Drosophila melanogaster: one gene and its partner. Each later gene encodes a partner of the first gene's protein in a complex. Each region holds a gene or a part of one and is shown in the gene's direction. Other genes may lie near its edges. The genes, in order: Drice and Diap1.

Region 1 (4,590 bases):
GTCAGTTTTCTTTTTTTACCACCTTGCAGTCTCTCGTCTCGTCGACGTTTGTGATGCTCATCATCGCTGGTCAGGTAATCGTTTAGTTCCCGCACCAACATGGGCATTAGTCCTTCATACAGCATGAGTTCCATGCTTAAGTTATCATATTGGAAGTTGTAAAGTATGTGAAATAGCTGTTGGGTATGAAGAAAGCCATTATATATAGCAGATGTCAAGAGGGATTTGGTTTCCATCTCACCGATGATCGCTCGCTCTGCGAGTTGGAGTCCCGGATCATGGCCACCAGCTTGCGCAGTGCCCCACATCTCCGGATCTTCGAGCGGCTGCAGGCATCGGTGGATAGCGTCAAGATTATGTTGATGCAGTGCCGGCTCTCGCTTTCGCTAAGTGGCTTTGCCATGTTCACAGCCATGAGCATCTCGCAGGCAGCCACAATGGCATCCGCAGTGCTCAGCATGTAGAAGGCGAAGGGATCCTTGCAGAAGTTAGAGAGGATTTTAAGGGCAGAGGCCCGTTGGTCGCCGTCCTCCTTTACGAAGCACACAATGGAGGCGAGCGAGGTATTCCAGGAAATGGACTAACAAGAAATGTTTATTATGTACTACGTTTTGGAGAACTTAGAAAACAGTCTCACCTCCCAAACTTTCAGTCCAATTTGCTGCGCGGATATCAGGACCAGACACTTCAGAATCTCGAGGGCCAGCTCAACGGCCGCTTCATTTTCCTTGGGCAGCGCATAGTCACAGTTCCTTGTGGAATTCTTGAGCATCTGGTGGTCAAAGATGTCACTGCGAACACCCTCCAAATTCCGGGCTACCTCCTCGAAATACTTCTCACGGTGCTGGTTCCTCTTCAGGCCAATCAGCGTGGACATCTCGATGTCCGGAACGGGCTCCTTGGATGCCTCTTCGTTCTTCATCACGGCCAGAAAAATTCGCATCAGCTGCTGGAACCCATTGGCCATGAGGAAGTACTTCAGGAACTGGCTGCTGGCCAGAAGGAAACGGCAGACGCGGAATGCCATGATGCGGGTCTGCACCGCACTGGTGGACTCAATGATGTGGCAGATGGCCGGTGCAATGGCCGCATAGTGCACTGTGAGACACTGGGACGCCTTCTTGCTCTTGGCGATGTTTCCAAGCATCCGGCAGGCGCGGCACTGGATCAGGGGATTAGGTATGGTCTTCAGAATGGTCACCAGCGGGTGAATCACCTTGCATTCAACAGCCTTAAAGTGGAAAGTTTTAAATTTTTTTAACCGTTGTGGTTCAAAATAAAGATAAAAATGTAATCTGATAATCCCACCTCAATGCAGGACTGTTCGTCGGTGCAGCAGTTCCCCAGTATGCTCAGTACCACCTCCATTATCTTTTCATTCAGCTTGGTGATCAGTCGCACCTGGAAGACGCAATTAATAATGATTTAAAAATCGATTCGAATAACGATCCTATGTGAGCGGCAGTGGCTGTCAAACCACCATGAGCGTTGTGACTCCCAAACCCACCATGATGTGAACGCCCCCAGCAGTGCGAAATAAAACAATGCCATTTTTATCCTTCACCAGATCGGTGCGCAGCTTCACCAGGCATTTGTAAATGACTGTTCGATCCGTGGAGGTCTTTAGCACTTCCAGCATGCTCTCCACTTGCTCTGGTGTCCAGAACATTGGTAATTTTCTTAATTTTTAAACAAATTGAAACAATTCAACAAATTCTACAGTGCGTCTCAAACCTCTTTGAGAGTGTGACCGTGCATAAGAGCGTATTTTACGGTATTTTACGTTATTTTTCGAAAATCCAGCAGCGGTCTGCCTTATTTATAAACTGATGTTTACGTTTTAGCTTTGGATGCGAATTCGATTCTACAATAATAAATGGAAGCAGGCCTGTTTTTTATGTAGATTATACAAGTTCCCACAAAATTACCTCCAAGCTTTTAATTTCAAATTATTTTAATATTTTTTAAAACCCATTTAATAATTTTTCCTATATTTATTTACTTTCTTTGTTTACCGTAATCGTGACACGAGGGCTGAAGTGTCATCACCAAATCAGGCGCTATTTGGTGTTTTTCAACTGCCAACAACGGTCTTACAGAATTAAAGACAAAAACGCAATCGACTAAAGTAATTAGTTAATAACTAGCTGTCTTTGTTGCGCGTAAACACGGACTTTCCCCAGAACGAAGCTAATTTGCCCAAGTCGTGCATCCAAGCTTTTCACAGATTTGGAAAAACCTGTTTCGCAGTGCTTGTGACTCATCAGTTTTCGCAGGCTCAAGGAGAGAACTTAGCCATGGACGCCACTAACAATGGAGAATCCGCCGACCAGGTGGGCATCAGGGTGGGCAATCCGGAGCAGCCCAACGATCACACAGATGCCCTGGGCTCCGTGGGATCCGGAGGAGCGGGTAGCAGCGGCCTGGTCGCAGGATCCTCGCATCCTTACGGCAGCGGAGCCATTGGGCAGCTGGCCAACGGGTACAGCTCACCCTCGTCCAGCTACCGTAAGAATGTAGCCAAAATGGTCACCGACCGCCATGCAGCCGAGTACAACATGCGCCACAAGAACCGCGGAATGGCACTGATCTTCAACCATGAGCACTTCGAGGTGCCCACCTTGAAGTCTCGCGCGGGAACCAATGTGGACTGCGAGAATCTGACTCGGGTGCTCAAGCAGCTGGACTTCGAAGTGACCGTGTACAAGGACTGCCGCTACAAGGACATTTTGAGGACAATCGAGTATGCAGCGTCGCAGAATCACAGCGATAGTGATTGCATCCTGGTCGCCATCCTGTCGCACGGCGAGATGGGCTACATCTACGCCAAGGACACACAGTACAAGCTGGATAACATCTGGAGCTTCTTCACGGCCAATCACTGCCCCTCGCTAGCCGGCAAACCCAAGTTGTTCTTCATACAGGCCTGCCAGGGCGACAGATTGGATGGCGGAGTGACCATGCAGCGTTCTCAGACGGAAACCGATGGCGACTCCTCGATGAGCTACAAGATTCCAGTGCACGCCGACTTTCTGATCGCCTACTCGACGGTTCCTGGATTCTATTCGTGGCGCAACACCACCCGCGGCAGCTGGTTCATGCAGAGCCTGTGCGCCGAACTGGCGGCCAATGGCAAGCGGCTGGACATCCTGACCCTGCTCACATTCGTGTGCCAGCGGGTGGCCGTGGACTTTGAGTCCTGCACCCCGGACACTCCGGAGATGCACCAGCAGAAGCAGATACCCTGCATAACCACCATGCTGACGCGCATTCTGCGTTTCAGCGACAAGCAGTTGGCACCAGCCGGACGGGTTTGATGGCTAATGGTATGGATCAAACGGTGGGTACGGCGAGGTGTGTGATAAACCAAGTCGCAATTAAGTTAGAACCTCATGGGCTATCGGCCTTGCAGCATATTTTTTATACAACACTTTTTTAACCTGCCCAATTGCTCGACGAGATTGGTGCCACTGCCCGTTTTATTTTATTTAGGCACAAAGTATCTTTCGATTGACATTTATTAATGTCGCATTTACTCGTCTGTATTTATATTTTTTGGGGTGGGTAGAGTAGATCGATTTAACTTAGAAATCTAAGAGGTTTTTACTCCGGCCAAAATTTTTTGACAATTTTAACTTGCCAACTGAACAAAGACGATCTCAAAATTTTAAATTCTCTACTAAACCTTATCATAGAACAACTTGCGCCTCTTTGATTCTCGATCAGGAATGTCGGCCCACCCTTATCTATATCTACCTTAGACCATTTACAGACAAGACCTTTTTACAATTTTATACACATAGATATCTTTATAGTATAAGCCTGTGTGTCATGGTCGTCCAAAACGAAAACAAACGATTTTAGCCTGTAGTCGAGTGTTTTATGAACAATATATACTATTTCTATGCCATTTGTACTCTTATATAATGCACATTAGCAAATGTTCTCCTTTCAAGTTAACCGCTAATAAATCCGATTGAAAACAATGAGAAATCAATGACCATTGGCTGTTTGCTGTTGACCCTGTCGCCTCTTTTGGGCGCCAAGTTGAGCGGCATTTCCCGAAAAGGTAGCACGCGGAGACGGAAAAATAGACGAGTCCAGCCATTGGCTGACCCTGATCGTACGATTTCAGAGCTTACAATCACTTTATTCTTAGAGCTGGACACAACGAGAATAAATTCCAATTTATAGTTCACTTAAAGCACACGGGTATGGGTTGAATTCAGAGAAATTTAAAGCCTGTCAGCAAATCCGACTCTCCGGCTAGATAAATGCACGTTTCTGATAACTTTCGACTAATTAAAAACGTAGAATATGCGCTCACAATTTTCTAGTTGAGGAACATCTAGATGTGGCCGCCCTCCTTTAGCTTGGCCACCAGGGCATCCACGTCGGCGACGGTGGCGCCGGCCTGGCGCACAGGAGGATCCTCCACGGAGATGACCTCGATGCGGGGCGAGGTGTCCACGCCGAGATCCTTGGCCGTAACCTTCTTCAGCGGCTTCTTCTTGGCCTTCATGATGTTCGGCAACGTGGCGTAGCGAGGGGTGTTCAGCCGGAGATCGGCGCTCAGCACAGCCGGGGTCT
Region 2 (5,004 bases), on another chromosome or scaffold:
TTGGCGTTTTCTTCTCCGCTCACTCACACAATGTCGCAATCAGGAACGCTCTCTCTCTCTCACACTCGCTCTCCCGCAAAACAATGCTATTTGTTGTTGTTTAACGCGCACCTTTGTTGTTGCATTCAATGGAAATTACACAAGAGGATGGGGCAAAAACTAAGAAATACGATAGGAGAAATTAATATTTTGCAAATGCTTTATTTAGAGCCACCAGCTGCTGGGCTACATAGTGTTAAGCAAACACATTTTCATATCAATTAAAAACACTTGCGGGCATTTTAGCAGCCGCTTGTTTTTTTTACACTTTGTTTATCATTCTCCCTTTCGCGCTCTCTCTCTCTCTCTGCCGCTCACACACACTCATGCAGTTAGGGCTTGCATACGGAGAGCGCGAATGGCTGAGCCTGCATGTGTGTGTGTTACCAATTTGACATAAATTCAACAGCCGCGACGCTGACGTCGCGAGTAAATAGAACAAAAATGGAAACCGCGTATTTTTTCACGCACTGAAATGCGATGATTTTATGTAATTTGGCAGGATGGCGGTATTGCACAAAATCCTTGCAAATGCGAGTGCACTTATGTAAAGGCATTTTTACATCGCCCCACATTTTACATTCCACTCCACACTCACACACACATTCACTCGCCTCGCACACAGACGCAACACATACACACGTATGCCGCACACGCACGTAGAGAAAAATGGATTGCAGTAGAAACTTTTCACACACACCGAAAGACCAAGCGAAAAACGCACCTTTCCCGCGAAATTCCCAGAACTTTCAGTGCTCTCTGGGCTTTAATGGCTGCAGGACTCTCCGCTGAAGCGCTCCTCGTCCGCGAGGCACTGGTATTTCACTTTATTTTGCATATTTTCGGTGGCGTTCAAATCGAATTTCATCCGCACGAAGTTCACAGACCAAAATTTTTTGACGATGTGAATCGGAGGGCAATGCGCGGTATATTTAGCACTCTTTTCGCCTGGTCACACTAACGCCGCTCACAAAATTGTAGATGGCGTCTTAGTTATGTTAACACTTAGCAGTGCTGTTATGGACCGATATTTTTAACGATGTTAATTAAACTATCAATATTATTTTAGGGTATTCGTAATTGTTCGTCTTATTACTCCATTCGGGAGAAATGCGTTCTTTTTGCATCCAATTCTTTACATTTAGTTCAAAAATAGATGCGGCCATATCTATCGATATATTTGATGTGCCTCAAAAACACATACAATGCAATTTTCAAACAACTTTTTAAATATATTAATACCGTTTCTAATTTTATCTATATAAAACACAAAAAGGAAAAAGAGGATACAACAGAATCAATTTACTTTCAAACTCAAAAAATGCTGTTTTTGGTCAACTTCTCTAATTGTGGCTTCCCTCAATTGTTTGTATTTATTCCTGGTTTGATACTAAGAATTCTCGAAAGTTTATTAAACCGAAACAACAAACAATTGATGTTAAAATAAATTTCCAAACTGATCAAAGTATTTTGTTTTTACTGGGAGTTCTCGGTATGCCGAAGGTTCTTCTGTTTGTTCCACTAATTTTTTTGTCAAATCAAGACAAAATGTTAGGGGCTCTAATTCTGATGAATCGAAATAAGCTCAGTTTTCGCGGTGTTACTGGACCGGGTAACAGACCCTTGTTCTATAAGTGGCTCAATTTTGTATATGTGTTATACCTGAACTACCGTTTCGATTTCCAAACCGTTTTATTCGATAAATGTTGGTTGAAAACGCTGCTGACGGCCTAGCGTAGACTTGATCCCACTGATGCATCTTATCGATATCTTTTTAGCGCGTATCGATACATCAGCGAGCCAAGCACCTTGAACAGTGTGACCCCATTTAGCATTTATTTAAAACTACGACTTCGTGTGCTGACAGTTGTTTGTTTTTGAAATTTTAATATATTCAGAAATATAAATAGCTTGCAAAATAGTTATTAATTAAACTTAAAAAAGTTTTAAAAAAAACATTCCAGTTTAGAGACGCACAGCTGGAATAGCCAACGAAAGTGCGGACATCCCACCCCCAAAAATAATTGCGCATCGCTTGGGCGGCAAAAAACTATTTCGACCGTTCCGCCCCGCTAGTTCTCTCTCTTTCCCCCGCCAGCACCCTCTCGCTCACTAGAAAGCCAAGCAAAACAAAACAAAACGAGAACGCAGAACCGACAAAACAAATACCTATAGGAAAGTGAGCTATATAGGCACATAGCTTTGGCGTAGTCGTTGCACGGCATTCAAACCCACCAGTCGACGTGAGCACAGTTGTGTAAACATTTTATACAGCAAAACTTATTTTAAGTGATTTTATAATCTTATCGTGGTGCGATAAGAGGTGAACGAAAACAATTAACGATTTGGTGGCCGAAAAAAGGCATTAAAAAAACCAATGATAAACTGATACGTTATCACTGTTTAAAATGTCTCTGGTAAGTAAATATAAATATGTGTGTTCAATCTTCCCGCGGTTTATAGAAAAAACAAAATGGGTTTACTTTACTATACTTGAATTATGCTGCATACAAATAGGCGCCGCCTGTCTACCTTTCTCTCTCCAACACGCCTTTTTTCATTCATGTCCTTACCCCCACATAAACAGGGACACGACCATTATCCCTCCCTCTCTCACTCTCTCTCTCTCCCCCTTTCTCCCTATCTCGCTCTCCGCTCTCTGGCGTTTTCTAGTGATTTCTAAAACAATCTGGAGGCCGAGATACACATGTACATACATACTTAGGCATATGTCAGGATCCCGTCTTATCTTATTCGCTCTTGTGCTAGCTTGTCATTTTGAGGGATGGGTTGGAATGAAATCTGTCTGTCGCACATGTTTCTGCCTGGATATTAACTAAGATTGTACCTTTTATCTCCGCCGATGCTGAGCTCATTCGCATCGCATTTCATTCATGATGAAATCAACACCACCCCCATGCTGCAAAACCCACCCATTCGTGGAACGCGTTTACTAGCTAGAATTTTCCAATTTCTAATTACCGCTCAATGTCATTTCCATTTACAGCGCTGCGTAGGTTCCTATGATTGATGGGGTTTTGCCTATAGCATCAGTTGCTTACCTCACTTATTTTACTAGAACGAAATTCATATATCCTCGCTGCATTCTGTTTTGCGTCATTCATTCGTGAGATATTTGTTTAAAACAACTGTCAACTGGCAAGTCTAATCTATACCTAGTAACGGTGACTAGATGGTTTCACAGGAAATTAGGTCACTTGAGTAATGTCATAACCTCTCAAATTCCTTACTTCAAATAGTAGTTCACTGATGAGTTCACTTGGTGTTCCCCTGAAAATGATGAATAAAATTATTTTTGAGTATTTATCCACTACACCATAAACTTAAATATACAATATACATACATCCTTTTTGAGGCTCCATCATTTGACAGCAAAAGATCCGCGGGACACCTCAGTTCGGTAGGCTCATTATTGGATTGTTCCACACATCCACACACCGAAAATATCCTGACAAAGGATCGACGGCAGCTGGCGTCGTCATGTGCCGCGCGATCCTTTCACTGGAAGCGTGCACAATAAGGATGAGGACCCTTGCCCCAGGAGCAGATGTTGCTGGCTCCGCTTTCGGCGATCCTCTGATCGGTTATTACCTAGTTGCTGCAGCTGCCGGCACACGTCCACAATTGTCGATCCAGGTGCTTTCTTTCCTTCCTTTTTTTTTGGCCCTGAATGGAGCAGGTAAATACATGGTGGCTAGAAAAGGGACCGACAGGCAGCACATGTTATAAGCAATGGGTAGTGGCTAGTCTAATCGAATCGTGCCCAACGCGTTGTTATGACACCTTTTGCCAATCGCCGCACAAATGAATGAAGAGAATACAAAAATGGCAAACAGGTTTTCAGCTCCGCTGCAGTTGGCTGTTAATAAAAAGCCACAAAATATAACATAAACAGAATCAACTGTAGAGTATAGCTTTTGAAATGTAATATGAGGAACTTAGGAATTACAAAGTTGCAGCAATCTTTTGACACGCTCCTTAATATTTATCTTAAATGAATATTATACATGCATATATAGATAAAATTAAGGTATATCCCTATTGAGTCATACTTGTTAATGCTGGCATGGTTTCATTATTAAAGCAACAAAGTGACTCAAGTTGTTTGAAATAGCTTAAACAGCTGTCAACACATTAAGTTAAAACGCTGTAGGCTATTTTAACTGTGCATTAAAAGCAGCACCAACAAGAACAGGGCGGTTGCAACAACTTTAAAAGGCCTTGCAAGGCCGTTTAGCTCCAAGCCCGCGGATTTTTCAACTAAAACTTGTCCGGCGACTCGAGACCCAAACTCTGCGTGGTCAGCGGAGTGATCTTTTGATGCTGAATATGAAATGAAAACCGAAGTGCCTCTGGCAGCATCCGCAAATAGAATGCTTGTATAGACGCCACATTTTCGCTTAATTTACAGCAGAAGACCGCCTGCAAACAGTGTCGACTTGCAACATGTCAAAGTCGTCTAGACTTCGCATTTATAGGCAAATTTCTCAAATGCGTCGCGACATTTTCGTGGTAAATTTAGCAGCGTGTATTTATAAAATTTGAAAAGTTCAACCCGTTTGCTTGCGGACGCCATATACACATGTCGCGCACTGTAGCCGGGCTGTTTTCCATAAATGATTCAAACTTGGCAATCTTTGTTTATACAGTATCAGAACGTGTTGGCATTTCCCCTGCCAAATATATATTCATAACTCAAAGGGGCTTAATCAGAAAAGCTTGGGACTTCGTTTAAAAATATTTTACTTATTGATAGTTCATTGCAAATACTTTGTTCGAGGCAAAAACGTCAATTCAAGAAATATGTTTGTAAATTTCATAATATAAATATATTCAACAAATACTTTAAGAATCCCTAGTGGTTTCTTCGCATTTATTAGTTTTTATCAGCCATTTTATCATGTCATATACTAACTTATGTACATAAAATTGCGTAATATTTA

Evidence for each region.
Region 2: the proteins of Drice (region 1) and Diap1 are in contact, whole or in part, in a crystal structure (PDB 3SIP), measured with the Drosophila melanogaster proteins. Residues at the interface, in NP_524551.2 of Drosophila melanogaster: Tyr256 (codon at 3,063), Ser257 (codon at 3,066), Trp258 (codon at 3,069), Arg259 (codon at 3,072), Asn260 (codon at 3,075), Thr261 (codon at 3,078), Thr262 (codon at 3,081), Arg263 (codon at 3,084), Trp266 (codon at 3,093), Asp298 (codon at 3,189), Phe299 (codon at 3,192), Glu300 (codon at 3,195), Ser301 (codon at 3,198), Cys302 (codon at 3,201), Thr303 (codon at 3,204), Met309 (codon at 3,222), His310 (codon at 3,225); in NP_001261916.1 of Drosophila melanogaster: Gln101, Pro105, Asn106, Arg111, Arg113, Ile132, Ser133, Tyr134, Asp135, Ile136, Cys137.

What each region holds. Positions count from the first base shown.
Region 1 is NT_033777.3:29,797,601-29,802,190, forward strand, and holds Drice (death related ICE-like caspase), read left to right. Parts: upstream 1-2,057; 5' UTR 2,058-2,297; coding exon 2,298-3,317; 3' UTR 3,318-3,984; downstream 3,985-4,590. Other genes in the region: Rnb (R and B), read right to left, coding at 1-176, 242-580, 638-1,231, 1,309-1,401, 1,508-1,669; Etfb (electron transfer flavoprotein beta subunit), read right to left, coding at 4,349-4,590.
Region 2 is NT_037436.4:16,047,910-16,052,913, reverse strand, and holds the start of Diap1 (Death-associated inhibitor of apoptosis 1), read left to right. Parts: upstream 1-1,879; 5' UTR 1,880-2,456; intron 2,457-2,610; exon of another isoform or gene 2,611-3,330; intron 3,331-3,404; exon of another isoform or gene 3,405-3,679; intron 3,680-5,004. UniProt on the Drosophila melanogaster protein: Anti-apoptotic protein which functions as a caspase regulator, using its E3 ubiquitin-protein ligase activity to smother caspase activity. Binds, ubiquitinates and inactivates initiator caspase Dronc, and effector caspases Drice and Dcp-1.